Schizosaccharomyces pombe: one gene and its partners. Changing the gene in region 1 together with any one later gene gives a genetic interaction. Each region holds a gene or a part of one and is shown in the gene's direction. Other genes may lie near its edges.

Region 1 (9,994 bases):
TTTACTTTCTTTTCGCTTTCTCGTCGATCCTGAACCTTTCTCAAGATCGACGTGATCGACAATGTGACTCTTTGGTCTCCACTGCATGGTGATCCAAAAGTACTCCAGATAGTATAGACAATCGTTAGTGGCAACGCAGATCTTTGGAAACGAGAGATTCCATTGTGCGTTTTGCGACGCTTCTTGAAATTATATTGTAGCTCCTCCATACTTTTTTAATCAATGTGATCAAGATGTTTTTGTATATATAATAGGATGTATCGCTTCAAGTACTGACAACTTGAGAGAAGAATTCCGTTTCAAACGGGAATAAAAAAGTGTTTCTTTCTCATAAATATTCTCTGCTTCTTTTTTAATTTTGTCTTGTTCCCATAAAACATTCAACATACGCTATCACTTGCAACCATCGTTACTCATTCCTGCCACGGCATTCTACTTCCCTAGTTACAAGTTTACACTTTCCGTAACCTGATACGTTCAAAGGTCTCAATTCGCTAGCGCTTGTATCTACCCATTGACACATCTCACACAACATTTATATATATATATGTATGTATTCATATATATTTATGCAAAGTATCTCGACTTGTAGGATTTTTTACAACGCAACAAACACAATACAAAGTACGAGTACATAAATAGAGAGATATAGTAAAAAAAAGAAAAAAGAAAAACTTGCTTACACTTACAAATTTGCTTAGAGGTATATACCAAATTCTGCAAGAGTTTTCTCTATTCTTGAATTTTTTATTGAAACTTAGAAATAGCAACTTTCTTTTTAGCCCTTCTACAATAACTTTTGCATACTCTACTCCCAACATCCATTTTCTCATCAGCAATCCTAGTCCAAGCTTGTCATTCCAACCTTCGTCAGTGGTAAATCTCGTTTTCAATCTGAATCGTCGATCTTTGCGTCATTATTGAGCCGTGGCATTCCTATTTGATCGCTCTTCGTTACGGGCTGTCGGAGGAACATAACGTGTGATTTTAATTTGACTAAAAATTTTTTATCAGATCATTTTTTTTTATTGGCCCTTCTACTCAAGTTGCGCAAGCTTGAGCACCTTTTTAGTCATCTGTTGGGTGAGTTTATTAACAGACACTTTGTTTTGCCCTGGTGGCTTAAGGTACCGTACATCTCATTCCTGTTAACAAGGTAGCTAGCATCTTCACCTGTCCTACTACCACCTACTTGTATCTTCGTACACATACACCACCCAAGAGAGGCGACTTTGCTTCATATCTGATACAAAACAAATACAATACAAATTATTCTTCCACATTTGTTTGTTTGCTTCACTCGTTCTCATTTGCCAGCCCTTTTTATCGCCTTTGCTTTTTCCTTCAGATCGTCTGGTTTTAACTCTACTTTTACCACGCCTGTAGATTCCAAAAATTTCTTTGAACATCGTACTAATCGGTTTATCCTTTTACGTCTTCTCCTTCTTTTTATTTAAAATTATCTTTCTAGGATTCGGGTTACCCCACCCATTGGTTTGGAATCGTTGTGTCTTGTGTATCTATCTTATTTTTAATCCGTTTACTCGTTTTCTTCCCCTTCTCTAAAATTTTATTCTTTTTTTTTCTTTTGTTTTGTTTTGTTTTCTACTTTTTACATCCTTGACTTTCTTCCTTACGATTGTCATTTTGTTTATTTAAAAGTCTTCACTGTCTTGTTAGTTTCCATTTGTAATTCCTTTTCATCCGGCAGCTTGTTTGCCTTTTTCCCCTTACTATTTTTAATACTTTTCTCTATCCACTTCTACTTTATTTTTTCTCAAGATGGCACCTTCTGTTGCAACCTCACTTAAGGCAGAGATCCTACCATCTCCGCGTACCTCATCTCCCTCTTCGAACTTTAAAACGTGTGTTTCCAACGAGAATGGTTGTATAAACTGTCGTTGCTCGCCTTCGGAACCTCATGAATCGGCCAATGTCGATGAGTCGGTAAATAAACTTTCCAAAACCTTCTCCAAACTTTCATTAAACCCTACCTTCCAGGCTTTGAACATGGATCTAGGTCTTCTACATGAAAATATTACTCTTGACAGAATTCCCAAAGTTCCCGAGAATCATGTCTCTTTGATTGATATCGATGAGGCTCGTGCCAAAGAAGACCCCAACTTTCAAATTCATTCAACTCCTTCTAGAATGCCTCCTCACTATGTTCAACCACACCCTCCGTTCAGTGTCTTTCCCGCCCCTATACTAGACGTTCGTGAGCTCACTAAACCAGGTGCTGTCAAACGTGTGTTCCATTTTGAACTAGACGTTTCCAACTATCCCCTTCCTGAAGGCGAAGAGTGGATGGTTGGAGGGTCGTTTGGTGTAATGGCTCCCAACAACGAAGAGGATGTGGATGAGCTTTTACAATTACTTCATATCAATCCCGACCAGGCAGATGCCCCTGTCCTTTTAAAAACCGATGGAGGTCGTTGGCCCACCATCTGGGCAGAAGACACACCTAGAGAACTCGTTACAACCAGGCGTGAGCTTCTTAAATGGACCGTGGAGTTTATGTCTGTCGCCCCAAAAAAGCAGCTTATTCGGTTACTTGCCGAATACGCCAAGGATGATACCGAGCGGCAAGTTTTGTTGTTTTTGGTCAGTCGTTTGGGACAACGTGCTTTCTGTGATTTAAGGGACCACAACGTTACACTTATCACTCTGCTAAAGGCTTTCCCTAGTGTTCAACTTCCTCTTGATCACCTTTTAACCGTGCTTCCCCAGCTTATGCCTAGATGGTATTCTTTGTCAAACGATCCCAAGGTCAGTAATAATGTATTGGAATTTGCGGTTACAGTTGTTGAAATCAATAAAGTTGAAGGAGGCACTCGTTCTGGTATTGGTTCTGGTTTTTTGAAAAGATTGGCATTGAGATTTTTAAATGGTGAACGAGATCTCGTCCTTCCAATGTACCGCGGTCTGCACAAAAACGCATTTGCCACACATTTTGCTTCTGATGGCCCTATGTGCCTAATCGGTGCCGGTGTAGGTGTTGCTCCCTTTAGAGGTTTTGTGCAACGACGTCTTACAAATGCCACTTGTGCTGGTAAAGTTTGGGTTTTCCATGGATGCCGCGACCAAGAATTGGATGAGCTCTATCATGGTGAGTGGGAAAACCCGCTTCAAAAGTCTTCAGACGATGATGCATCTTCTACAGTCAGCCAACAAACCGAAACTGAAATGGATTCCTTCGAAGTTAAAAAAGACGGTACTAGTGGCCCCAACCATCTTGTTGTTGAATCACGTTCTCACCAACATGCCTATGTACAGGACGAGATTCGACACCGTGGTGACATTGTATGGAGTGTTCTTAGTCATCCTCATGGGAAGGTTTATCTTTGTGGTGGTAAAAAGGGATTTTTAGATGGTGTTGAAAATGCCTTGATTGATGTTTGCGTTCAATACGGAAAAATGAGCAGGCTGGAAGCTACCCAACAACTTGCTCTTTGGCAAAGTCCACTTAACCTTAAATACATAAAGGAGATTTGGTAAATGAATGAAGTTGTTTATCCACGTTACCAATATTTATTTTTTCGTTAAAATTTTTTTTTTGTTTACTATCTTTTCACATTATTTTCGATTCTTTTCTGTCTTTTTTATTATCGTTTCGTTTTAAAAAAATCTTTTTTGAAATGTTTCGAAAGCAATATTTGTATCTCAAAATGGCATTTTAATTCTATATTGGCTTGGGCATATCTGTTAAAACATTTTTTGTTTAGCCTTTTGTTTCCATAAATAAAAATATAAACAAATTTTAATAGTTGATTGTAGTAATATAATTTACTCATCTTATTCTCTTGCTTTGATTTATCCTTCATGTTTTCGTATACTGTTAACTAGCAATCTTGAGACTGTAAAGTAAACATTAAGGATTCGATTCTTTAGTGAACCAGTACCTAGTATCTAATTATTTATTAGCGAATTCTAAGGAAATTTGTTTTGCCCATTAATAGCGAAACATCACTCCATGTCGTACAATCGTTAACGCCGGTAACAGAACTCCGATTAAGTTCAGCCGTTGGGGTATCCATGAGCATACGAGCATAGTTCGCAAGCATTATCATTTTAGGACTCTTCACAATCTTAAGTTATTATTTAAGTGTTAATATCTTTAATTTTACTAGATTGCTTAAAAATTGAGAGTTTGACTAGCCCAGTAAGCAATCGCGTGTTGCACGCAATAAGTATTAGTACGAAAACATACTATCCCTTTATAAGGCTATTTCATGAAGGCGCTTATGGAAGGAGATAGCTTTTTTATTCCTGCTTTTAATGATCAGTGCTCATGAAACCTGTGCGAAGGGGACAAACCGATACTGCTTTGGATATAAGTTCCCATGCCAAAACTAATGGTGACTTTATCAAAAAAATGAATACCACTGATTCAAAAAGGCTCAAGTTACTTGAGGATTTGAAGGGAAAGCTCGAAGTTGAGTGCAAAATACGGGATGGCGCTGAAACGTTGCTGCAAGTCTTCGACACCAATTTTAAAAAAGAAACAAAAGAACGTAAAGAAATGTTAAAAAAGAAATGTACCGATGAGCTCGAATCATCTAAAAAAAAGATAGAGGAATTAGTTTCTAGCATTGAATCTTTCCAAGGAGAAAATGGTGAAGCAAAAACTGGCTCAACCAGTCTCACGAGGTCTGCTTCTGCGACTGTCAGTCGAAAGAGCTCATTGCAGGAAAAGTATAGTACGAGATTTTCTTACAAAGCAGGATGTAGCGATAGTTGCAGTGTTACAGTCAGTGGGACTGGTGAATTAATAGGTCCTACCAGAAATGCGCATAGCAATTTAACTCCTACCGTCATTCAAAGAATTGACTTTGAAAATGTCAACGAAAAAAATAATTCTTCTTCTGAAGATACTCAACCTAACGGAAAACGTCCTTCTAGTTTGCAATCGAATTTCTCACAATTTCCATTAAATCCTTGGCTTGATAATATATATAAGGCTTGTCTTGAAGGCAGTATGAAGGATGTAATCGATTCCTCAAATAATTTATGTGAATACTTACATGAACATTCTGATCCCGCTTATGCAAAAAACTTCTCCTTGATTACTCCGACCATACTTTCAATGCTCGAGTTGAATGTCTCTGAAGTTACGGCTTCTGTTTATAGACTACTAAGGCATTTGTTTCTTGACGCAACAGCATTCTCTTGTTGTCAAATGTTGAATTTACCTTGGATCTTGTCAAAGTCTCTACTTTCTGGTACCGATGCATATCAAATTGAACGAGAGCAAGCATTCCGACTAATCCGAACTCTTTATTTTCTTTCATCAACTGAAGGACATGAGGATTATCTTTCAGGTATTACGAGGACTATCATTTCAATTTGTGAGCATGTATCAGATGTTAGTCGTGGAATTGCTGTTGAAACTCTTATCGAGTTAATGATTATTCGACCAAAAATTTTATTTAAAGCTAATGGTTTAAGGGTTTTAATGATCTCCCTAATCGATGGAAGTATTTCTGAGAATTTAGCAGCTAGTGCTGCACTTGCATTAGTATATCTTTTGGATGATCCTGAAAGCGCTTGTTACGTAAATTTACCCTACGATATTGGCATTTTACTTTCACCTTTTACTAGTTCTTCTTCGCGAGATACATTTAATTCCTCTGAGGAACAGTCTGAACAAGCTGCAAAAGCCATGAAATCTTCCGCCAAAGTTGCCTCTGTTTTGCTTAATTCATGGTCTGGATTATTGGCTTTGTCTACCAATGATTTTCAGGCTCTTCGGTCGATTGTTGATACACTTCGGGTTCCATCCTTTGCTCCACGAAGCGATGTAATTGATCTTTTCTTTTTAATTTTCCAAGTTGAGTATTCAAGTTGGTCAGAGTCTTTTTTGGCCGGAAAACGATTAACAGTCGTTAAAAATCAGGCTGTATCTAATGATGATAACATAAACATGGTTAATATACCGGATGGTTCCAACAAAAAGTACATGTCGCTACGCCAACATTTTACAGCCGTCTTATTATTTATATTTTTGGAGCTCGGTTTGGTTGAATCTATTGTATGTATGATTAGGGCCAGCGATGACCCATCAGCCTCACGTAAAGCTACATATCTTCTAGGAGAGGTATTGAGGCTGTCTGATGAGCTACTGCCGATTCATTTAGGAGCCAAAATACAATCCTTGCCATCTTTATTTAATATGGCTTCTCAATTTACTGCCGAAGACAGGTTTGTTGCCACTTCTGTTCTTCAATCCATTGAAAGTTTGAATAGAGTTAAATTCCATTCTGCAACACAACCTTTCTCGCAGACAACCTCTCTTCTTTTTAAGGAGCAAAAAACTGATGGATCTTTTCGGGGGCAAAGACAGGTTGAGCATGTTAAATTGAAAATGGGCATGCAGATTGATGATTCACATTTTCGTAGTATGCTAGCTGAAACCAACGTGTTAGCTACAAAAAACTATCAAAAATGGCGATGGGATACACTTGTCCAAATTATGGAGGGTCCATTGCTAAGTCCGAAACGTATTGATGAAACTTTGCGAACCACAAAATTTATGAGACGGCTTTTAGCATTTTATAAACCCTTTTCCAACAGATTTTCTTCCATACAAAACACTAAACCAAATCAAAAATTTATAAAGGTTGGTTGTCTTGTTTTCAGGACTTTACTAGCCAATCCGGAAGGCGTTAAATATCTTTCTGAAAGCAAAGTGATTAAACAAATAGCAGAATCTCTTAGCCAGATAGACGGATATTCAGAACAGGTTTCTGAGCCGATTTTCTCGAACAGTAGGCTTCAGAAAACCCTCACCCACGGTTACTTTCCTATGTTAAAAGTATTGTCAAGCCAAAAGGAAGGTCATGCAATTATGGAACGATGGAGGATTTTTACTACACTTTACCATTTGACAGAATTGAGGAACAGAGACGATCTCATAATTATTTTTCTGACTAATCTTGATTATCGGCTAGAGGGGCACACACGAATTATATTTTCTAAGGCGCTTAATACCGGGCAACAGGCTGTACGCTTAACTGCAACCAAGCATCTTGCGGCTTTAATCAATTCTGAGTCTGCCAATGACAACTTAAATCACTGGGCAATTTCTCTATTGATATTTCAACTGTACGATCCTTGCTTGGAAGTATGTAAAACAGCAGTGAAGGTGTTGAATGAAGTTTGTGCTCGAAATGAAAACTTGCTGGCTCAAGTTGTTCAGCTTCAACCTTCATTGGCCCATTTGGGTGAAATTGGCTCACCTTTACTTTTACGTTTTCTTGCTACAACTGTCGGATTTCATTACCTTTCTGAAATTAATTTTATTGAACATGAACTCGATAATTGGTACCATCATCGAAATATAGATTACGTGGATTTATTGGAGCAAAATTTTTTCCTTTCTTTTGTTTCAAATCTCAAAATTATTGACAAGAAAAACAATGAACCAGATGAAAATATACTTCCCCTACACTTTTATGGCGAATTAGTCAAATCTCCACAAGGTTGTGAGGTTCTCGAGTCTTCTGGGCATTTTGAATCTTTTATGGGTACCTTGGTGGAATTTTACGATAAACCGTTAGGAAATGAAGCCATCAGGCAGTTAAAGAGTGCTCTTTGGGCTATAGGAAACATTGGAAAAACCGATCAGGGTATTACGTTTTTAATTAACCATGATACGATACCGTTGATTGTCAAATATGCCGAAAATTCATTGATTCCTACTGTTCGAGGAACTGCTTATTTTGTATTAGGCTTGATTTCCAGGACTTCTAAAGGCGTTGAGATACTCGAATCACTGCATTGGTATAGCCTTATGTCTTTAATGGGCACTTCACAAGGAATTTGCATTCCGAGACATGCTGGACAAGTATTATCAACTCCAAGGAGAAATGTTGAGTTTGTAAATGAGCGCGTGCCAACTCCTGAGTTTTCTTCATTACTTAGCTCTTTAACTAACTCAGAGAGAGAGGTAATTAGGCTCGTTTCCAATTTGTCAAACCATGTTTTAACAAACGAGTCAGCACGGCAACTAACAAAGATTCGTTCGAAAAATGCTAAAGTTTTCTCCTCTAAACGTTTGGTGAAAGCTTGTATGACCATTCTGGGAAAATTCCATTACCGTGTTCAGATTCAACAATTTGTATTTGAATTATTTCCTTACTCGGTTTTATTGTCTTCCTCAACCTCACAGGACTTAAATGAATCCCCGTCCAGGCCGAATAATTTGTCAATTTCCGCATGAACTCCAAATTTCCGAACCTTCACTTTTCTAAAATTTTTGTAAATTAATGATTTTTATGATTTCTTATTATCGTTTTTCTTCTGTTATTCAATAAGTTTGATCTTTAGTTTTCTGCTTATTCTTTGACCTTCCCTCTTTGTTTCTTTTCATAAGTTTATTTACTAAGTTAGACTAGTGTTTACATAAAAGGTGATTGCGCTAGGGTTAGTAATGAGTTTATAATTGTTTTTGGATGTTTAAATTATTAATCTAATATTTATAAGACATGTCTGATACTTGCGGATATTTTTTTGAATTTGTGTAGTTTAGGTAGGCCTGCTTAGCCCCTGGCCTCCATACGATAGTAATATGAACAAGAATATATTGCCTTTCATCTTTTCGTGCTAATTTTTACTTTGTACGCTGTTATTATCAATATAAAAATTGCGTACCACAAAGGTGTACTTATATGTAATACCCATGCTTAGCAAGTTATGCTCAACTTCCACATACAACGTATGCAACGAACGGCAGCCTCATGTTATAGTAAATTAGCAAATCCTATATAACTAAACGAAAGTGTATTTGCTTAACATATCGTGGAGTTTGGGCATATTTCTGCTCACAAGTAAATCTCATACAACATCGCATTTGGTTTTAATTTGTTTTGGTTGTTCGCAAGGAAGAAGATTATTCTTTAAAAAAAAGGAAATAAATTTATAAATATAATTTGAAAAAAAATATATATATATATATTTGGGTTTTTACACTCTTTTGACTACATAACTCGATAGGTTTTCGGATTTGTTTAATAGACAAAAGAAGGAAGTACGTTTAAGGGTTTATTTCTATGGAACATTATTGATTTTTTTTTTTTCTTGCTATGTACAATGTGACATACAGGTTACTTCGTCTAAGCTTGATTTCTTCTCATTCTTTAAGAAAATCACGGTCCTTCGATGTCAAAAACTTTGCAAATATTCATTTTTTTATTCCCTTACCAAACACACCAAAAAAGTTTTATTCTGTGAATGCATTTTCCCCTTTACTAAAAGCACGGCGCATGACAGCTACGATTGTAAGCAATCATAATGTTGGTTGTTCATGTTGCTACTTTCGACAGTATAGCACAAAACAATTTCGTGATTTAAATACCAGTGAAGCTCTTTCTCCATGTAAAGCTGAACCGATACCCTATAAAATCATGTCTTCCATGAGTAATTTTTCAGATTTTAAGTCTCGATTTTCACAATATCGAGAATCACATTTAAAGCTACTAAATGAGCTTCAAAATGTTAAAGACACAAATGATCTAAAAGACAGAATACGCTTACTTCATCTCAATAGCTCTTCTAAACTTAATGCTTTTTTACACGATCTTATAAACGCGCCAAATGTGTCAGCAGAGATGAAGGAAAATTGTGTTCGTCTGATTTTTTTTGGAAGGAAGTATGATCCTTTTCTTAGATCGAGGATGTTCACTTTAACTATTCGTTACTTTCTACTTCAAAAAAATAGGCTTAGGACTAGTTTTTATTTATTAAAACATATGGAGTTATTGGCTCTTCCTGCTTCTTATGAATTGAAAACAACTCTTTTAGAGTGGTTCTTACGAAAACGAAAATTTGAAACAGCTCAAAAGATTTTCCTATCGCTCTGCTTTTCCCAACATTTTCCCTCCGAAAAGTTATTGATGGTTTTACTTCTTCATGGGACTGAAACTATGCAGGAATATGCGATGATACAGGCAATAAATTTTGTGAATACAGAACAAAAGTTACGGTTTTACGATAG
Region 2 (6,750 bases), 1.3 Mb from region 1:
AGCAGCTTATGGGAGCTATTCGTAGAACTACACTTGCAAGGAAGTTTACACCTGTATTAATGGGTTCTGCCTTGTCCAATGTTGGAGTTCAATCTGTTTTGGATGCTGTTTGCGACTACCTACCCAACCCTTCTGAGGTCGAAAATATAGCTTTGAATGCAGCAGACTCAGAAAAGCCAGTATCCCTTGTTCCTAGCAGTGAGAAGCCGCTTGTCGCTCTTGCTTTCAAACTCGAGGAGGGAAGGTTTGGCCAGCTCACCTATTTGCGAATTTATCAAGGTACACTCAAGCGGGGTAATTACATTTACAATGTCAATTCTACAAAAAAAATAAAAGTTTCACGCCTCGTTCGTATGCATTCCAATGATATGGAAGAAATCGAAAAGGTTGAAGCTGGAGGGATTTGTGCGTTATTTGGTATCGAATGCGCTTCTGGAGACACCTTCACGGACGGTTCCGTATCGTATACTATGACTTCAATGTTTGTACCAGAACCCGTAATTTCACTTTCTTTAAAACCGAAGAGCAAAGATACAACCAGTTTTTCTAAGGCTTTGAATCGCTTTCAGCGTGAAGATCCCACTTTTCGTGTGCAGTTGGATAATGAATCGAAAGAAACCATCATTAGTGGTATGGGTGAACTTCATTTGGAAGTTTATGTCGAACGTATGCGTCGTGAGTACAAGGTTGACTGTGAAACGGGTAAACCAAGAGTTGCATTCCGGGAAACTCTTTCCAAAAAGGTACCTTTCAGCTACCTGCACAAAAAACAATCTGGTGGAGCCGGTCAATATGCAAAAGTAGAAGGGTACATTGAATACATGGATGGTGTGGAAGACGAATCTGGAAACGTTGTTGATTGTGAATTTATCAACAAAGTTACCGGTGGAACAGTCCCTACGCAGTATATTCCAGCTTGTGAAAAAGCTTTTTACGAAGCATTGAAAAAAGGATTTCTCATTGGTCATCCTATAAAAAATTGCAGGTTCGTTTTAGAAGATGGTGCTTATCATCCCGTTGATTCCTCTGAATTGGCATTTCGTTTAGCCACCATTTCTGCTTTCCGTACAGCTTTCTTGCAAGCGAACCCAATGGTTTTGGAACCAATTATGAACGTAAGCATAACGGCGCCTGTTGAACATCAAGGTGGTGTAATTGGTAATCTTGATAAGCGTAAGGCGACTATTGTCGATAGCGATACAGACGAAGATGAGTTTACGTTGCAGGCGGAGGTCCCTTTGAACAGCATGTTTTCTTATTCCTCGGATATACGAGCCTTGACTAAAGGCAAGGGTGAGTTTAGCATGGAGTTTCTCAAATATCTTCCAGCACCAAAATATGTGCAGAAGGAACTTGTTGACGCGTACAACAAACAACAACAAAAATAATTTTTGAAGTCCGTTTTAAATGAAGCAACAGCAAAGTTTTTGGTAACCAGTCATTTCTATTTAAAAAAAAAAATTTTGATCCACTCTCCTCTTTACTAACGCAGCAATCTACATGCAAATAAAAAAAATAAATACCCAGATTATTACCATACAAGTAATGTACAATTTTTTTTGTGCAAGATAGTTCATGGAACAGAGAATGAGTATATTAAAGAATATGAAGAGTAAATTATAGACCAACTTATAAAGGCTGAGCTCTTAACGGAGACATTTTGGCCAGAACATACATTTGAATTCCAATAACTTGTTTTCAAATAGTGCTTTTTTCTTTTTCCTTCTTTCTTTCCATATTTTTGTTATTGGTTTGGAAAAAAAAGGGAGTAGGAATAGGATGATAGATAATATGAATAGGAAAAAAGTATGACTTTCAATATAAAGGTAAGGACAGTGATAAAGCAAGCCCCCTTTATGGAGTCTATTACTGAATTTGATTTATGAATGAGTTCTAAGGATTATTGTATAAAATAGGAATTTTAGTTTCAAAGAAAGAAAAAGATAAGAAAACGTAAAACATCAGATGCAAGAAAGAAACAGGAAAAAAAGAATAAAGGCACATACGAACATCTTTTTTTAAAACAATTTATAGCACTCCAAGTTCTTTTTGGGCTTGAATACGCAATTCCTCATCAGCGGCTTCATACAGAATTTTTTCGGTTTGCCAACGTTGCGAAATAGAATCAATGTCCTTGGGAATATTATCAATTATGCTGTGAATTTTTTCGTTTTCAATTATTTCATTGCAAGTTTGGAATATAAACTGATTCCATCCAGGCTGCAATGAATTGGCAGTTTTGGCAATATCCATCAACTCCAATTCAGTTTCCTTTTCCAAACGACCAAACTTACGAATTAGCTCGTCACCAACGCCGCCGCGGTTGAGCAAATTATTCAATGCCATTCTCGATACTTTAAGCTTCATCAATCGACGAAGACCTTCTGTAGCCCGTAAAACGAGAGCAGCTTTCAAAAGTGTATCCTCGGCAGGTGGATTCTGCTGCAAAAGACTGAAAAATATATTTCTAGAATAATTTTCTCCAAACCATTCTTCTGATACTGGTTTTGATTCCTGATTTTTGGATTTTCGCACAAAACGAGAAACTCCATACATAGAGCCCATTAAAATGGTAATATATATCAAGGGAACGTAAATCGACACCATATTGAATTAATTAACACGGCCAAGTATGTAAAGCAAGCAGGGACCTTTTTCTTTAACAACTCGTATACCCTTTTTGTATTATTTGTTTTTTGCAGAGTGGACTGCAAATATGTATATGAGATATAACTTCGAGACCAAATGAATGCAAGACCAGTTTAGGTGTGAAAGGAGAATAGTGTGTTTTCTGGAATGCTTTATATTTTATAAGGTTGATGTAATTTTCTGTTATTTGTAGATAAGAGATATTTATGTTTTCTTAAAGACGCTAAAATATTTTACGCGATGCGCTATTAGATAAACAAATCGATCGGATATTGTTCAATTGTTTGTTTAAACTCAGGTAAAAGTTTTTAGAATTAGAAATGAAAAAAATTTACTAATAGGGAACTAGGATAATAAACAATTGAGCATTTTAGAAACAGATTTTGCGACCATTGTGAAAACTGACGAAACATATAGTTAGGAAGACAAAAACACCTCATTTATGAAATTATTTCTTTTTTTCAAGTATACAAAGGATCTTTGTATGTTCTTCTATATTGTTTCTGTAGTTTTATTAGTATTTTTACATATCGAGGCATTGGCATTCATTTGTTTTATTTACAGCCAATTAATAAATTCCCTTATTTTGATATAAGCTTTACAGTCTCGCTTAACTTGAAAACGCTATGATGTTGTGTATTCAGTTACAATAAATAGTGACATACAATAGTCGCTCAAATATATCTGGTTATATTTTATATTAAATAATTTTGCCAACTGATTTATCTTGGGTTGATTTTTCTTATTCGTGAGATTTAGATAGCCGTTCATGATGTTTTTCTGCATACAATGCATATTAGTGGAAAATGCGTTCGATTTCCTTATACTCATACAATCCTTTAGACCGTCGAAAGCGGAGTGGTATCACTTTGGTATAAAAAGGTAGTCTTAATTAACCTACCACTAACGTATATTTTCATTAACAAAAAAAAAGTTTATTATCATTATTCAAGATGGCTAAAAGATCCATATTTCGTTTTGCTGATGAAAAGGGCTTGAAGGTCGCTGCCCGTTATGGAGTCCTTATGTCAACTAGTTTTATTTTTGCTTTACTTTTCCACAGCGTATGTTCCAATCAAATTTCTATTTTATTCTAAGATTATTCATTTGAAAATCAACTTTCATTTGATATCAATTTCGTTTAGCTTTTGGAGACAAAGGGAGCAGAATATGAGAAATTATAAGTCGGTACTTTGAGTGAATTCTGAATTTGTTTTACAAAACATGCATTGTTAAAATAAATCTGGAAAATTATTTTATCAGGAACGTTTCTAAAAAGGAGCTTTTTGTCTGTTTAAGTTTTCATAATCGGATACGAGCATTCATCTTACCGCTCAATGTTTGCCGCGCTGCTCATTTTTCTGTTGTTCTTATGTTTTTGGAGCTTCACTTCGAATTGATTACTTTGTTCATAGTCTTTATTTTCTTAGCATAAATTACTAATGTCATTTAGAGCGTTGCCGATGTGAATACCTTATGGAGTCCTGGCCCTGAGTCTGCTTTCGATGCTGCTGAAACTTACTATACTTTGGTGGCTGGATCCCATTTCATTGTAAAATATACTGTATATACCATCATGGGACTTAATATGATTTTCCATCTTATTCAAGCCACTGGCGCTAAAGGTGATGACAAATTGTTCTTTTACTCTAGCACGCTTCTTTATCTTACTGCACTAATTTTGTTTATTGTTAATGTTGCTCCTTCTATGTTGGTTGTTAAGCTACAGAATTATGTTCAATTCCCACGAAATATGCACTTGTCCGTTCTTGCTGCTTCTCATGTTCTTGTTGAATTTCTTCTTGCTGGTGTCATTCTTATTCAACTTGGATACGTTTTCGGATATCATGTTCAAAGTATCCAGCAGCGCGAATACGCTGAAGATATGAGGGAGCAAGAATTAGCTGAAAAGGCTAAATTGGAATCCGAGTCTGCTACTACTCAGAGTGTAGAAACTGTTTCCACCGAATCTGTTTCAAAGCGCAAGTAAACAAACCACTTGGGTCTAATTTTACAACTTTTGGAATAGAGTGAACTATTTTATATCTTGCTAATTATTGTTGCTAGTCCGTCATCAACTCTTTGACGCAAAGTTTATGTCTAACTAGAAAGCAAAGAGTGACTTGCATTGACGGTAACTGGGAAAGCTTACATGTGTATTCATACGTACAATTATATATATACAAGATTTATACTGTCTTATATAAGAAATAAATTGACTTGAATTTTCGATAGAGGAATAGTTCGTTATGTTTGGATTTAGAATAGTCTTTAGCACACTTATACTTCTTAATAATTAAATATGTACTCATTGTGCAAAAAGGATTATCACAAGTGAAGCTTTTGTGAGATTGTATATTCTTCTATACTATGGATGCATAAACAAAGTCTCATTTTAGATGGGTTTTACGCTGCAGATACAGCAGAAGCGCCATACAAATATACTAAGTAAAATCTCAAAGTTCAAATGCTCAATCGATTTATTGTGCTAATTATCGATGTTTAATTCACTTTTTAACAACTAATAAATAGGTAACAATGTTACTTGTTCGTATAGCTTACTTGACTGCATAGCATCAGAATGATAATTGTAACTAGCTTCAGCGAATTTGGTAAGTTGGACTAGTTGGTTAGTTATTACCTTTTTTTTCTTTCTTCTGTGTTTCTCTAATCTCAACCCTACTGTAGACGGTAACTTTTTCAATTCATTCGTTCGGGTCATTTTTTGATCAAAATGTTGCAACTTTTCATTTATAGCCCAGGACTTGGGCAACCAACGATGGATCCTGGATGCTTAGCGGCATTAATTTATTGCGCACTTGCCGTCCCAAAGGACGAAATTGAAATTCTTCGCACTGCAAATTCAGGTATGAGCCCTACCCATAAGCTACCAGCTTTGTGGGATGGTCATGTTTGGATTGGATCTTTGAAAAACATTTTAATATACTTGAAACAGAAGGGCTATAATTTGGATAATTTTGATGCGAAACAGCTGGCCAATGTTATGGCCTTCACCAGTTTATTGGAAGGTTCCGTCAATGACCTTTGGTTATTAGAAGCCTTTGTTAATGAGGAAAATTTTGTTGAAGCAATAAGACCTGCTTGGTCAAAGGCACTTAAATTTCCTCATAATTATTTGACACCCAATGCTTTGCAACGGCAAGCAAAAGAACGCTTGGCTCAAACACTTGGTATTCGCGACGAAGAAGTCTCTTATGAAGCATCAAGGATGCCTATTTCTCATAAATGGACTAATGCTACTAGACATAGGCAAGCTCTACTGCGCACGCAAGCTCGTCGTATAAGAATTTCGTCATTAGCTCGGCAGGTATATGGTTCGCTTGAGTCCCTGATTTCAGATTCAAAATTTATATTCGGTGAAAAGCCAACATCTCTCGATTGTTTGTTTTACGCCTATTTATCTTTCCATGCTTTCACCAATGAGCTTCCTCAAGCAACTTTGCGACCATGTTTGCAATTCAACTCTCCCAAGCTTTATGCCTATCTCAAATCTTTACGCGAAACCTGGTTTTCCGATGATTCAAACATACTTTCTCCTTTATCGATTAAAGTTCAACCCGAAAATCTATTGACTATAGCTCGCCTTGCTTGGAACAATGTTACTGCCAAAGCAAATGATACAAGGAAATCAATTACTAAGTTTAGCGTCCCTCCCGAAAGGAAACTGCTGTGGGCGAGGAATGGATTCTTTATTTTTGCATCCGCTTTCAGCTTTGTATGGTTTGTCATCAGCAATGGTATAGTTGTCATTGAGACGGAAGATGATGAGGCTTCCTTTGAGGAAGTAGATGATGCTAAAGAAAGCATACAAGAAAAAGAAATTGATGAAACTACTGAATCAAAAGCGACCCATGACAGTTCAGAAACCTCATCAAGTAAAGAGTTACCTAAGGAAGAAGAAAAAGAGTCAAGTTCTTTTGATTTGCAACCTTTATCAGCGCAAGATTTATTGTTTTCTGGATTTGCAGAAGATGAAATTATGGATGAAGAATTTGGGTATGACGATGATGACGATGAAGAATTTGATTTAGATGATTTGGATGACTTGGAGGAAGAGATTGTTTGATTGTAAAAACAAAA
Region 3 (8,171 bases), 1.4 Mb from region 1:
TATATACCATTTGCTCTCTAGGCGTGGTAACTGAATTGGCGCCATCAGATTCGAATAATAAAAGTAGTTGGCCCAGTTTGGGATCAAGCAATATCTCATGAATACGATAAAATATAACTTTGAGTAACCGTTCTATAGAGCAAATCATGTAGCAAGTTTCATTATTGAATTTTTGCAAATATTTTCGGAATTCGAGACGGGAACAAGAACCTTTCAAATATTTTTCACAGATATTCAAAATATTCTCGTAACCCCCTGTGCTTGAAGCATATATAGTCGAAGATTCAACAAACAACTTGATATGCTCTAGCCGAGAATAGCAGACACATATCAATCTAAACAGAACATACATTGTAGCATTCCCAAAAAAATTGTAGCCAATTATGTTTTTCGACTCTTCACCAAGAAATTTAGATTTCGAATGATTTTCAACATCGTCAGGATGTATATCACTCATAGTTTCATCTTCAGTTTGAGTTTCATCGGTTTGAAAACTCACATTGGTGTTATTACTATTATCAGCACTTTCGGGACGAATAAATATTTTGCTTAAACCATCTCTGTGTTTTTTAACCGATTCAATATTTTCAGAAGCAAGGTTAGTCTCAAGTGCTTCGCGAGGTAGCGGAATGCCAAAAAATTGCGATAATAAAGCTTTCAAAACAGCACTAATTCGACCCTTGTCAGCGTATGAATAAAAAGAAGAGTTTGTTAACTGAGCATCACTTAGCCGCAAAATATTCAAAAATATGAGACTATCACATAAAACTTGGGTAAACTGAAACCCCAACTTGGCCCCATCGATCCGATGCTTTTGTCGTTGATAAATGTCATCAATATCGCGAAGAATACGGCTATAAGATAATCCTCTACGGTCTCTCCCTTCTATTCTGCAATATCTGTCGTCAAATGCTGCTTGAGCATTTTTCTTTTCGATTTGCCGCCAAATTTTACTCCACTCTCGCTTGCTTCGTCTCCATTCTTGATCTTTGGTTTTAATACGTTTCAGAAGTACAGGAGCCGCAGTGGGTAATTTTTTAAATAAAGTGTCAAGAGCCAAATTTGCATGCTCTTTGCCATAAACGATTATAAGGGCGTTCTTAATTATTCGTTTTGATCGCTCGAGTTCTTGAAGGGCGGTTTCTAAATGCTCGTGAATCGTCGGCTCACAAAAGTTTGCAAGTATTTTTATAGCAGACTCGGTAGTATTCAAAACTCTATCGTAATCATACCGTTCGTCTTCTACTAGTTGCAATGCCTGTAGGTACTGATTTTCATGATGCATTATATTTTTGACATGGGATGGTTTGGGAGCTACAGAAATATAATCGTCATTCAAAACAGAATTGTCCAAATCATCACGACCTGAGCATTTGTCCTGTTTCCAGGAATCCGGAAGTTTGCGATAAGTCAGTGAAATGCACTCAAAAGTTTCTGGTAAATAAACACGTTCGTCCACCGGTTCGTTTTTTACAAGTATTGGGTTATCACTCCACCTAATAAATTCGGAAAACCACAATGTCAAATTATCATTTCTAACAAGTTTTGAAAAAGAATTTAATAATTCTGTTTTATCCAATAACTTTTCCCGATAAAGATGAAGAAGCTCAAGGAACTTGTGAAAGGCTAAAGTGTCAGGTAAATGCTGTCTAATCGTTGTGAAGGCTAGTAATTCTTCCTGGGTAGCAGCATAAGGGGACGTGGGAGCAGTGATTTTTTGCGGATATACATGAAGGGAATAAGAGTTCAATGGCTCTTCAGCAGTTTGTCGATACATCCTCGAGGTTTTAGATATCGATCTACTGATTTGGGCAGAATGAGCCGGTCGATTTCTTTTTTCACGTACAGGTGCAGAAGGGGGAAGACTGAAATTCCCAACCGGAGGAAGACGGTTTGGAGATTTCTGAACATTAGGGGTGGATGGCTCAGTTGAATCAACATTATCAGGAAGAAAAAGTTTAAACTCCTCCAACAAATCTGGTGAATCTTTAAAAATTTCAGCGACCCTCGCACGCACTTCAAAAATCGACTTTTGTGCTTTCTGATAAGTGCGCAAAACACCTAAAAATTCCATGTACGTGTCGGAATTTGGTGGATAACGAGCCTTAACTTTGTTCATATAAGCAATCGCATAGTTAAAATCTACCCGAGGCTTCTCGTTTTCAGTACTGGAAACTAAATTTGGAGCAGATGGCTGAGGTTGAGAGTCAGTAGGACTAGTGGATTCCATTGTTCGCTGATCTTCATTAGATGGAGCCACGGGCAATGTACTTTGGACGCCCTGCTGGGGAAGTGGGTGCATAGGAGTACCTACACGTACAACACTAGTGTTTGAAGAGTCCAATTGTACTTCTATTTTGTAACCGGATGGAAGAAACGTGTTAAAGCCTTCAATAAGTTGAGGGTAACCGTTAAACAACTCTGATACACGATTAATAACTCCCAAGGTGTCAAGCGCCTGAGATTTGAAATCGCGCATAATTTCCAAAAATCGATTGTAAATTTCTCGGCGTTCAGAAAAATAATATTTTACTAACTCAAGATAGGAAAGCGCATCGTTCACATCCAAAGGACGATTAGAAGAAGAACTTAATCCTTCTGCATTTTGTGAAGAAATGGAGCCATCTTTACCAGAAATCGATGATAAGGCGAGCGAGGAAACTATGGTTTTTCCTTTTTCGTAATCATCGCGAGTTACACTTCTTTCCGATAAAATCTGTTTGTTTTCAACAGGTTCAGTAGCTACGCCATTATCTTTTCCATCACCATTGTGCAAAGAGGTGTTTACAGGTGACTGGGATTGAGACGGTGACGCTTTTGGTAAATGGTTTTTATCAGATTGTGTCTCAACTTTGTCGCCTATAATATTAGCATTTGTTAAAAACGAACCTCATAAACCAAGATTGTTTCTCGAAATGATGTTTCGCAGAAGAAGCATGTAAAAACTTACCAGGATTGTCGCGTTCTGAGTCGACAGGCACATTCATTACATCCATGGTTAAAAACTCATAAATGCAACAGAAATGACTGCTTTATCTCGATAGTTGCAGTCTTGCAATGTCTGAATCGCGTTACGGGAAAGGTAAGATTGGTTTGTTGTGTTTGACACAAGTAAATGTCATCACGTAACGTGCGTGCTACACACACCTGCCTACCTTAACTAATTTCCAAAACATCAGCAGTTGAGTTGAATTTAAAAATCATTAATTTCATTCTTTGATTAGAGTAAAGAATTTTAATTCATGTTTATTGTGTCAAGAAATTCTGACATCAATTTTTTAGTCGTTTCCTTGCCCCATCTAGCATCTTTGACTGTTCGTTACTTTTGAACGTTGAAAAAATACTATACCCTTTTGCTCATTATTCTCATTTTACGGAGTACGCAGTACAAATTATGGCGCTGCATCTCCTGTACGTTCTCATAGGCTACGCACGCGTTGCATGGCTACCTCGTTACTATGGCATCTGCTTCGTAAACAAACATCGTTTCTAAATTTGTAAACAATGAAATCAGTAACAATTTCGAATGGAATAAAAGCAAGCTGTGGTCCATCATTCTGCTTGTTCTGAGGCTTTGGTATTGATCGTCTTAAGCCCTCTAAAAGCAAGGAATTATCGCTATCTGGAAAATTTATAATATCAAACAACCCAAACACTTTTATTCATTTCTTGCTTTGTGGAAATTTTTGAAAGCATCAACATGAGTTTTCAGAATCCCAGCTATATTAATGCTAAACACCGGTCCTTCTTGCAACCTAAGGACACTCAAGATTCGCAGGATTTACGAAACTGGGTCAGTCACAGTAGTGTAGATGAAGAAACAGCATATTCTAGTTCGACCCTCAGTTCGAGTTCTTCTAAAAGCTTTCCTTGTTACGATGAGTATGATGAGATAAAATCTCCTGACGATCAAAAAGTCGAGTATATGAAGACGTTAAGGACCTTGGAAGAAGATGCTTTTTCTTACACAGATTCAGTTTACGATTTTGAGGAGCGTTCATTTGATGAACACGAGCCACCTATCCCTCCACTTCACAAAACTGGAGTTTTTAGCGTTCCTCTTCAACCAACCCATACTGTGAATAGTAACTCAGACGACGGTTATGAAAATTCCTCCAAGAATGAGTATCTGGACTTTAATTCAGAAATCTCTGCTTCGCCCGTCAATGAACCAATGACGCACAGTCAGTCATACACCTCGATTGATCGCTTGAATTCATCAAGTTCGCACTATTCCAAAGATGTTCCATTATTATGTGGAAGCCTGACTATTGATTGCCCAACGCCAATAGACTTACGTGGCATGCTTGGTCCATTTATGCAAAAAAACCCCGATGAAGCAAGTTTCCTGCGGTATTCGGCCATTACCTGCCAACCAGAAGATATGAATAATAATGGGCTTCAACTACGAACATGGTCCACGGGTCGCGACATTCAAATTGCTGTTTGTCTAACACTTAGCGATGAGGATTTGGCATCTTTTGCCATTTCTCTTTCTAGTATCATGAATAATTTAAAACATCTTTGCTCACGGTCTAAGTCGCGGGTATGGGGAAATGAGAGTTGGGAAAAGGTTTTAGTATGTGTCGTAATTGATGGCCGTAACACTGTTCACCAAAACGTCTTGGACTTGCTTGCATCTATAGGAGTGTATCAACCTCACATTGCTAAAGGGAGAGTAAACGGAAAAAGAACTTTATCCCATATGTATGAATTCACAAGTACCATCAACGTTGATGAGAAACTCAATCTTACAACAGCGACTGGTGACGGAAACGTTCCAATGCAGATGTTACTCTGTGTTAAGGACCGTCGTCTAGGCACTTATAACTCGCATCGCTGGTTTTTAAATGGTATAGCATCGCTTGCTCGTCCCAAGGTTTGTCTCTTTGTTCGTAACGGTGCAAGGCTTGGCCCAACATCTATTTATCATGCGTGGAAAGCTTTTGATGTTGATTCCACTATTGGAGGAATGTGTGGTAAAACTTCGATTGATACAGGAAAGTTTGGCTTTAGACTGTTAAATCCATTCATTGCTTCTCAACATTTTGACCAAATGATCCATAACAATCTTCGCTTACCGTACGACAGCTGCATGGGTTATATTTCAAATGCGCTTAACGCAATTTATGGATTTCGATACGTCGCTTTGCAAGATTCATATCCAAACCCTGGACCACTAGCCGATTATTTCGAGCAAGACCAATATGAAATTCCTAGGAGAGGTATCTTACAATCCAATGCTTTTTTGGCACAAGAACAACTCCTTTTCTGGAAAGTAATCACCCGAAAAGATGCAAAATGGCATTTGCAATATGTACCTGAAGCTTGTGCTACTATTGAAGCGCCCAATTCAATGGCTGGAATACTAGAGTCTAAAAAATCTGAAATTAACAGTAGCTTTAGTCTTGCTGTCTATGTTATAGTTGATTTTTTTTCTTTATGGACTACCCGGCACAAGTTCTTTCGATTCCTTTTGCTCACCGTTCAATCGCTCGTCTTTGCAATTGAGAAGTTGGTGAATTTTTTCTCAATGGCAAATTTCTTTTTGGCCTTCTACTTTGTATGCAATGCCACTTCATACAGCTCATTGAATCCGTATGGTAATTGGGCCCGACCTTTATTTCTGGTTTTCGAATATATTCTAATTTGTTTAATTTTTTCACAGTTTATGCTAGCAATGGGCAATCGACCACGGAGGTATGAATGTTTGTTTTAAAAATTTCTCATATTAACTAATTGTTTAGCTGTCGAGTTTTACTGTTCATTAGTACTGCATTGTTTTCCATTATTATGATTTATTTCGTTTTTTGTGTTTTTTATATTTCATTGATACCATTACACAACTCAGATAATTCTGAAATTGTTTTAGGCAACAATTATTTCACGACCTTAATTTTCTCTTCTTTATTAATTCTAGCATGTTATGCTTTCGTTTCTTTAATTTGTATGGATCCTTTTTTTATCTTTACTTGTATTGTGCAATACATTCTGCTGATGCCAACTCGCATTTATACTGAGCAAATATATGCACTTTGTCATCTTGATGATGCTTCAATTTCGAAGGATGATAACCAGCAAGAATTTAATTTTGACACAGGTATTACCCATTGTTCAATGAACGACGAAGGCTATACTACAATCAGTATTCCAAAAGCCAACGTGTTGAATTCTGTATATAACTCTTCTTTAAAAAATTTCAGTTCTTCTAATGATACTTCGGTTTATCACGATGTTCAGGACCATTGCTATCGGAAGCCACAATCCTATGAGGATCACTACCAAGACATTCGTACTCGTTATGTGCTAGTTTGGGCTGTAAGCAACTTAATTTTAGCCATTGTTCTGATTCAGGTATTCGATGGCATGCGTTTTATTAATAATGGCTACATGAAGTATATATTTTGGAGTATCGTAGCCTTCACTGCTTGGAAAACCATGGGAGCTGTTACATTCATAGCTACCAAGATCATTTCACGAATTGCTAATTGTGTGAAATCAAAACTTTACATTTTTAATGATCCTTAATGATACAACTAAATTTATCTTGTAAATATTTCTTCTATGACCGATATTTTAAAATGAAACAATGTAGGGGATTTATAGTAATTTCAATTACTATACAAGTTTTCGATTGTTAATCTAGTTGTTTCGTTCCAAAAAGATAGTGCTTCCTTCTAAAACCTCGTTTTTAACGCATTTGTCCGAATCAAAAGTATTATCAACGATGCTTAAAGTTTTGCATTTCTTGATAAGACTTTGAATACTGGCAGATTCCGAAGTAATGAGTTTGGAATGTTCTTCATCAGGATGAATGTATACCACAGCATCTGATTTGATTCCATTTTCAGCCATCATTGAACGAGTAGAGTGAACGACAGTAATGATAGACTCGTAATATTTAGCAGCTATCTCGTTAGAATAGTCTACCCTTTCAACTGGGAAAGCAGCTTTAACGATAGTCTGAGTTTTGTCTCCAGGACGACGAGGAAGTCTCTGCCACATCTCTTCAGTAACGTATGGCATAAAAGGATGCATTAAACGAAGAGCGTTGTCAAGGACAGTATAGAGGGTTTGCTTAGCAGATTCTTGTTGTACCTCTGTACCATCACTTAGAAGGTATTTTGAGTTCTCAATGTAAACATCACAAAGTTCATACAACCAAAATTGGTGAACAGCTGAAGTAGCTTGAAGGAAGTTCATTTCTTCCATGTTTTTGTTCATAGCGGCTGCTGCGATGTTCAAGCGGTGGAAAATCCACTTTTCTACAAGTGATTCATTACCAGTAAGATCGGCAGTCTTGTTAGGAACGAAATTAGAACCTAGACGACCCAAAGCAAATTTTGTAGCATTGTACAACTTGTTACAGAATTTACGATATCCTTCAACACGAAGGATATCAAGGTTGAGATCACGACCACCAGTAGTCAAGGAACAGAGGGTAAAACGCAAAGCGTCAGTTCCACATTGAGGTATACCCTTGGGATAGCTCAACCGTTGACCCTTTTTAGCTTTTTCGACCTCTCTGCTGTCGAGATTGCCAACCAAAAGCTTATCATGTAATGCTTGTAGAGAAATACCCTCAATGACATCTATAGGATCCACAACATTTCCCAATGATTTAGACATTTTGCGGCCTTGAGCATCACGAACGAGTGCATGACAAAATACACGTTTAAAGGGAATCTTTCCGGTTAATTTGAGACCCAACATTACCATACGAGCAATCCAGAAGAAAAGAATATCCCAACCTGTTTCCATCAGAGTAGTAGGATAGAAATTTTCATAATCGCTAGTATCCTTTGGCCAGCCAAGGGTAGAAAAAGGCCACAATCCGGAGGAGAACCAAGTATCAAGAACGTCTTCATCCTGTTCTAGTGTGAAAGACTTTCCAGGAAAAGCAGCTTTAGCTTTCTCTTCTGCTTGTTCCAAAGTACGACCAGTAACCCAATAACGGCCTTCACTTCGATCTTGAGAAGGTTCGTCAGCTAAATTTACAAAATAGGCTGGGATACGATGACCCCACCATAATTGACGAGAAATGCACCAGTCTTGGATATTTTCCATCCAGCGAATGAATTCTCGGCGAGACATATCAGGAGCAATTTCGATTTCACCAGACTTTACAACTTCAGCTGCGGCTGCAGCCATCTCTTTTTGATTCACCCACC
Region 4 (7,143 bases), 1.5 Mb from region 1:
CTAAGACGACAAGTATTTAAGACCAGCATGTAATCCTAGTGCAAATGTGGAGAGACGAACATCAATGGCAAATCCCTTCTTCTCTAAAGAAAATAATTCCTCTTGTAAAGAAGAAAGCTTGATTGGAAAGTTCTCAATGTATTCGCCATCGTCAAGTTGTTGTTGAGGATTTTGGTTTTCAGGCTTCGACATGTCAATGTCAGCCAGTATAATCTTAAGATTAGCATTCGTAAGACCCGGATCATTGTACATGACAGTGGTGGAGTCCATAACAGTACCAACGTAGCCAGTCTCTTCACGAAGCTCTCGAATCGCAGCATCTTCACAAGACTCCTTAGAATCAACTAAACCTGCTGGAATTTCAATACAAAACTTGCCAATAGGAGGACGAAATTGCTTTTGGCACAACACATGAGGACTTCCGTCGATAGGAACAATGGCTAAGATGGCTACGGCATCCACATTGGCTTCTGAACGTGTCGTACGTTCAGCCATTTCCCAAAACCTGATTTTTCCTTTTTCGTCTTGCCAACGGATTTTCTTTAAGGATGTCCACTTGGCATCCTGATTCTCAAGGTTGGACACTTCCAAAACTTTAGGTTTTTGATCTTGGCTCATTTTATCAATACAGGTGCTCAAACCTTTGACAGTGTATGAAGGGTGTTGGAATGAAGTTGCTGATATTTGAAAAGAGAAGGTGGAAATAGCGATGTGAGAATATGAGCTAATCAATTTCGGAGGATGCTGGTGTCTACCAACGTTAAGTAAATATCGGGTTAGAAATGAAGTTGCATTTATACCTAATGTTCTTGTACTTTTAATAATATGCTGGAAAAAATTTCGGTGCATGAGTGACTTAAAATCCAACTGAAATATTGCTTACTTTTTTCCCGTTAATGCGTAAACGTGCGATTAGTATGACAATGTAAGTATGATGTTAATTTGTTTTGACGTATATTTACAAATTTCATTAATGTAAATATTAACAATCAGCAAAAAACCAAAATTATTATTTGAGCAAAATCATAACGCGGAGTATACCATTAATTATTAACTTAGCTATAAACTGGTCGTTTATCACCTTCTCTAGTGTCTTTTCATTTGCAATTGATTTTACAAACGGATCATCAAAAGATACCGTGACCGGTTTTAGCCAATATAATGGAGTTTTTCCTACCCTTTTCTATTATTGTAGTAAAAGATTTTACGCTGTAAGAGAAATTGCATTTATTTACGTTTTCAGTTCATAATCGCTTATTGATATTAGAATAGCGTCAACTTATGATTTAAGAATATATAATATTAATACTTTATCGACTCACATCTCATTTAAATTACATTTATGCCATAACCCATATCTAGTTTAATGTCTAAGCCGATTTCTAAGTACATTTTAGGGCTTAAGTTAAGTAGTTTCCAATTTAACTAAATCAATTTCTTTTTCAAGTTTGCTACATCAACAAAATTTTTCATATATTCATTTTTAGGGCCATGCGTTGAAGTACCAACCTCTTGTAGATAAATTCGCTAAGTTACTGTTTATGCTGTGCACGCTTCTAAACGCTACCACTTTTTAGCGACGCTTAACTTATCTATTATCAGTACGATATGCTCATCCCCCATATACGTGTGATAAGCTTACACCTCGACCTCGTTCATTTACATTACCATCAACTTCTACTAGCGAATTTGTCCTGCTCACTTCACCCGTTGAATACATCCCATTTAGAATTAATAGCTTGATTTCATAACCAATTAGGAACCCGTCATTATAGTTGCAATTCCAACGCTCCTTACATTTCGTTTGCACTGTATCTCTACACATCCGCTTCAATTATTTGTTTTGTCTTTATTTCCTGTTCCGTCTATAGGTAAGATAATTTACTTGCACAAAGTCTTAAGTTCAATGTTTGTACAACAAATTACAAAAAGGATTGAAGGACTAAAGTGGTTGATGGAACTTTAATAATAACATCTTCGATAAATATTTACGAGAACGTAAAAATCCTTGTCTTGATAAAGATTGTTTTTTCTATTGCCTTTACTCTGAAATTGCTAGCACTGTTGCTCACTTCGGCGTCACATATTTCCTCAATTTCAAAATTCATATGAACTATTAAATTTTACTTTGCAACTAATTTCATTAGTTAATATCGTTACTAATTTTGCTTTAGCTTATTTCGAAAGAGCTTTTTACCTACAATTAAGACCTTCTCTTACCTAAGAACTCGAGTTACTTCTTGACTGCTTACGCGATTTTTTTCTTTTTTTTGCTTTCTTTAACGCTCTCTTTTATCATTAAATTTTATTTTATTTTATTCACGTTTTTGATCCCGAAATGCTTTGCAATCGTACATGTCCCTCTTCTGATTGTGGGATTCTTTGCAACCATAGTGTTCCTTCCTTCCCTCCTTTTCATTCCTCAGTCGCTAATATCCACTTCACTAAGGAGAATAATTTAAAGTCAAACATTTTTGAGCACAATAATAATTCGCCTACTTTAAGGTCTTCTTCTGTTGCTTGTAACACTTGCCTCAAGATAATTCGGAATGACTCATTTCATTGCACAAAGTGTTTCGATTTCGATGTTTGTAGAGACTGCTATGCGAAACAGGCATTCCTCCATCCTTGCCCAAAACCCCATTTCGTACTTGTTCGCTCTTCAATCCCTTCAGTTGCTTCCTTAACCTGCAGCGTAAATTCTATGTCAGTTTCTCCCCAATCTAATTTTATGTACGCCATTTGTGACCATTGTGAGCAACCTATACATAATGTGCGTTACAAGTGTAGTGTTTGTGATGACTACGACATTTGTGAGTCTTGCCTTACCGACAATAGTCATTCAAACACGCATGCTTTCGTTCGAATTACTAAAGCTTATCCTCATGGTCTTCCTTCATTTCATTTGTTCCCTCAGTTCCTATCAGCCGAATTGTTTGAGTCTGCCTCAACAGTACATCGATCGGTTCAATGTGACAACTGTCTTGCTCATCCAATAGTTGGACCAAGATTTCATTGTCTGGTTTGTGAAGACTATGATCTTTGCTCCTCATGTGTATCTCATGTGCATCATGATCATCATTCAATGCTCCGTTTAACTCGCGAAATATCTGCTTCACCTTTACATTTATCTAAACCTGAAAAACCTAAGGTTCTTAATTTCGACTTCAAGTTAGTTGAGGACTCCATTCTCCCCTTAGAATTAAGCCCTGGCTGCCCGTTTTATAAAATATGGCATATAAGGAATACTTCTTGTCAATCGTGGCCTTCTCCGTTGTATGTCAAGTTTAATGGTGGAGACAAACTTTTTCCAGGAGACAATCCATATTCGTTTCCTATCACTTCTTCCGTTCATCCTGGTGAGGATGTTAATTTTACAGTTGCTTTGAAGGTTCCTGAAAAAAGTAACAAAGAGATTTTTACCGCATTTTTTAATATCTGCTCCGATGATGGTAGCGTTTTTCACAAAAGTCTTTGCGCCTTCCTTCGTGTACCGAAGTCTTTTAGCAGAATTAGTAAGTCGTCTTTTTGAAACCATTCGTAACGCTTTTTATGTCCTGTAGAAGTTTAGTGTGGAAGACAACGATAACGAAACTGATTTCAGTTTTATATTTCTTTCTTTTGTCCACTTGTCTGGCGGTTGTTCGTATATAACCGCCGGTTTTAAGTTCATGATTTGCTTCAGAGTTGAATCACTTGTTACCATATTTGATCCTACCTTGTTATAATGATCTTGATGGAAATGCTATATATGTTTAAAATTTATATTAAAAATTATATATTAACGAATAAAATGCAGGATACATATGAATATGCCAGATTAAATAATAGTATACATTGATGATAAAACTCTAAAGAGTTTTTGCTTCATTAATTATGGATTCCTTTATGATTACTTTCGATGAAAGTTCATTAGTTTTGGCACTGCTTGATACAGTAGGTTCCTCCTTTTTTTGTAGAAACGAGTTTAATCTAGCCATAGCTTGTTTTTTGATGTGAAATGGTTCTCGTGATTTGCTAAGCGAATCTTTTAGTCTATAAATCGCTTCCTTATTTCGTAACATAGGGCACGTGTCCCTTCCACTAAAGTGAGGTGTTCCACATAAAAAGCATATTTCTAATGGCACAATGCTTAATGGACAATGTGCTGGTAAATGTTTAATACCACAACATCGACAACGTACATTATCAGACAAAGAAGACAGTAGAAAAAAGTTGTCAAGAACTGCTTTAGACAAAGATCTTCCAACCAGTTGATGATTTTTTTCAATTATTTCGTAAGGTGGGTAAAAAACTGGATCGTCTATCAGTTGCATTTCCGAATCATTAATATACTCTGAAGAAGTTAATTTGTTAGCCACCTCTAAATTGATGGTGGATAGAGTTTTGTTAAATTCATCTTCTTTGGGAGTTGTTGCTAATAGAGATTTAGCTAAGATAGAGTCAAAATGAACATCTGCAGACTTTTGAGAATCAGATTCATCATTTAAGTTTTCGATATTTACGCTCGAATCATATTTGAGTTTTTGCTTATCAGATAAAGTATCTGTTATCGAACTGATTGTCTCAGTTTCTATGGGAAATGGGGAGCCTGGTGATGATCGATCATTAACGGTATAATCAGTATCGTCGCTATTATCATAAATATTTAAATCTTCGCCATAATGGATTTTGTGGTGTGCACGAAGTCTCCTGTTGGAAGTTGTTTCGTCTGTTTTTTCTAGCATTGCATCCTTCTCTCGTTGCTTAAGTATTACTGACCAGACATCTTCTTCATCAACAAGAACATTTTCTTTGACTTCATAATGATTGGAAGATATATGTTTGTTATCCCAAACACGAAAAAAGCCAAACTTATTGCTTTTTATATCTGATTCATCAGTTGAAGTATCTTCTTGTTTCTCAGCTTCTGAGATAAGTAATTCTACCGAATATTCATTATACTTAATAGACGGTTCATCACCAGCCTCTTCAAATAATGCACGAGCCCCATGCCGCAAGATACTTTCTAAATCTTTTTCTGAATTATGATTTTGATCCAATGACTCAACAATTAAGTGGTCCAATACAAGCTTCTTTTGAGCGTTTTGAATGATTTTTTCCTCTACAGAATCTCGAGTAGTTAACACAAAGACAAGTACCTTTTTTTTTTGCCCATATCGATGAGCCCTTGCAATCGCTTGCATGTCTTGATGAGGATTGAAATCAGGATCTAGTATAATAACAGTGTCCGCACTAGCTAAATTGATGCCAACTCCACCAGCACGGGTAGAAAGTAAGAAACATGACAACTCAGAATTAGGAGCATTAAAAGAGTCGATTGCTGACTGCCTTTCCATTTCCGATGAGGCGCCATCAAAACGTGCATAGGCTATGTTTTTATATTCAAACCAATCTTCAAGGATATCGAGTTGCTGGATAAATTGAGAAAACAATAATATACGATGCCCGCGAGTTATCAATTTCGGTACCAATAAGCGTAATATTAAAAACTTACAGCTGGCTTCTTCCAGTGAACGCATAGCAAGTTCATACGGGAGATTACGGTCTTCAATATCTGGTGAATAAATGTACGGATGAGCTAATGTTTTTCGAAGTTGCATCAAAATGTTGTTCAATGAAGTAGTCCTTTGCCCTCCAGAAGAACTGGTATTAGCATAGCCGGTAATATTACGTAGCAAAGACAAATTTTTTGAAAGAATCGATTTGTATAAACCTTTTTGAACAGGTGTCATGGACAAAGGAATAATTACTTCAACCTTCGTAGGAAAGTTATCCAGTACTTCGCTTTTCACTCTTCTTAAAAAAAACGGCTTTAAGATTTGATGAAGTTCAGTCACCTTTTCCGTATCAATAATGCTGTATCTTTTTTCAAGCTCAGCAGCATTTATTTTCATGGGATTTAAAAACTGCAGTAAATTAAAAAGTTCCCGAACATTATTTTGCAATGGCGTCCCGGTTAAAAGAAGCTTAAAGTCACTTTTAACCGAAGAGAGGTAATAAAAGAGGGAAGATTGATCATTTTTTAGTCGTTGTCCTTCGTCAACAATTAAAACTTTCCACTGAAATTTTCGGAGCAATGAAATTTCACGTTCAACATTTGAAGCACTTATAACGAGGACATGAGTGCTTACATGTTTTGGGTCTTTTTGATTGATTAGACGATAATCACGGACTAAACTTCTGTTTTTTTCAGAGCCCACGAGTACATTAATTTGTAGAAAGGGAGCCCATTTTTTAAGCTCTCGTTCCCAATTTGCAACAGTGGCATGAGGGACAATAACCAGTACCGGGAAGCATTTATGTCTGTAAAATAAAACACTAATGAAAGATATTACTTGTACAGTTTTACCTAAACCCATTTCATCAGCTAAAATACAAGGATGATGTGTGTACCATCGTAAATAAAGCCAGTTCAGCCCTTTCAGTTGATATGGCATTAGTGTACCACCTTTGATAAAACTTGGTTGAGAGTGCCACTCAAGATTAGTAAATGGTAAATCAATATTTATCGAAGCTGTAGGGGCTTTTTCGATCCATAGACATTCCAACAAGTCCGAATACCCTTTTAACCACGCTTTCCAGCGATTTCTATCTGTTTCTTTAGGAGGTGGTTCCCAATTTGACATATAATAAGTTAAACCACGCCAAGAAACAAAGGCGAATGTAACTTCAGAAATTGCCTTCAGTTGATGTTTTTTTGTTTTATATTTTGCCGTTCGAGCATTCTTTCCACTTCTATATTGAACATCCCAAACCTTATCGATTATTGTATACGATACTGGAATAATGGGCTTAGTTGCGTCGTATGAGGCATTCTCCAAACCATCGAAATTTTTCTTTTTAGCTAATGAAATACCGGCTAGCCATGAAGCAGAACACCAAAAACAGTGAAGGTAAGACTTACCTTTGCTTCGAACGAAATACTCTCTAGACCAAAAGCTCAAGTCCGATGTACTAACAAAATTATTTGAAAGGGTAGCTTTTGAAGGATATAAACTGTTTAGAGTTCTCCAAGCAATTATCTCTTCAATATCACAAGGATGCATAGAACATTCATTACAAACAAGTTTTTTTATAAAATGAGTAATTGTTCTCTGAATAGACAAAGGATTACTGTCCAGATAAAAAAAATATTCGACA

The links.
Region 2: mutations in ste20 (region 1) and shr3 together harm fitness more than expected from each alone (negative genetic interaction), as found in Schizosaccharomyces pombe (one large-scale study listed by BioGRID).
Region 3: mutations in ste20 (region 1) and chs2 together harm fitness more than expected from each alone (negative genetic interaction), as found in Schizosaccharomyces pombe (one large-scale study listed by BioGRID).
Region 4: mutations in ste20 (region 1) and nbr1 together harm fitness more than expected from each alone (negative genetic interaction), as found in Schizosaccharomyces pombe (one large-scale study listed by BioGRID).

The regions. Positions count from the first base shown.
Region 1 is NC_003423.3:2,471,848-2,481,841, forward strand, and holds ste20 (target of rapamycin complex 2 subunit ste20), read left to right. Parts: upstream 1-4,031; 5' UTR 4,032-4,291; coding exon 4,292-8,221; 3' UTR 8,222-8,615; downstream 8,616-9,994. Other genes in the region: SPOM_SPBC12C2.14C (uncharacterized protein), read right to left, coding at 1-209; SPOM_SPBC12C2.03C (methionine synthase reductase), read left to right, coding at 1,783-3,498; SPOM_SPBC12C2.01C (uncharacterized protein), read left to right, coding at 9,084-9,994. UniProt on the Schizosaccharomyces pombe protein: Component of TORC2, which regulates multiple cellular processes to control cell growth in response to environmental signals. TORC2 is required for cell survival under various stress conditions.
Region 2 is NC_003423.3:1,172,718-1,179,467, reverse strand, and holds shr3 (chaperone protein Shr3), read left to right. Parts: upstream 1-3,554; 5' UTR 3,555-3,602; coding exon 3,603-3,713; intron 3,714-4,102; coding exon 4,103-4,639; 3' UTR 4,640-4,988; downstream 4,989-6,750. Other genes in the region: mef1 (mitochondrial translation elongation factor G), read left to right, coding at 1-1,388; translocation subcomplex subunit Sec66, read right to left, coding at 2,029-2,607; mtx1 (metaxin 1), read left to right, coding at 5,384-6,736. UniProt on the Schizosaccharomyces pombe protein: Involved in amino acid permease processing and required for the efficient translocation of structurally related amino acid permeases from the endoplasmic reticulum to the plasma membrane.
Region 3 is NC_003423.3:1,091,658-1,099,828, forward strand, and holds chs2 (chitin synthase-like protein 2), read left to right. Parts: upstream 1-3,563; 5' UTR 3,564-3,700; coding exon 3,701-5,700; intron 5,701-5,747; coding exon 5,748-6,528; 3' UTR 6,529-6,571; downstream 6,572-8,171. Other genes in the region: SIN3 family co-repressor, Clr6 and Rpd3L histone deacetylase complex subunit Pst3, read right to left, coding at 1-2,859, 2,951-2,996; vrs1 (valine--tRNA (Val) ligase Vrs1/Vas1), read right to left, coding at 6,643-8,171. UniProt on the Schizosaccharomyces pombe protein: Plays a role in septum formation. Has no chitin synthase activity.
Region 4 is NC_003423.3:983,033-990,175, reverse strand, and holds nbr1 (protein Nbr1), read left to right. Parts: upstream 1-1,666; 5' UTR 1,667-1,871; intron 1,872-2,174; 5' UTR 2,175-2,338; coding exon 2,339-3,532; 3' UTR 3,533-3,793; downstream 3,794-7,143. Other genes in the region: subfamily NudF ADP-ribose diphosphatase Ysa1, read right to left, coding at 1-618; SHREC complex ATP-dependent chromatin remodeller Mit1, read right to left, coding at 3,852-7,143.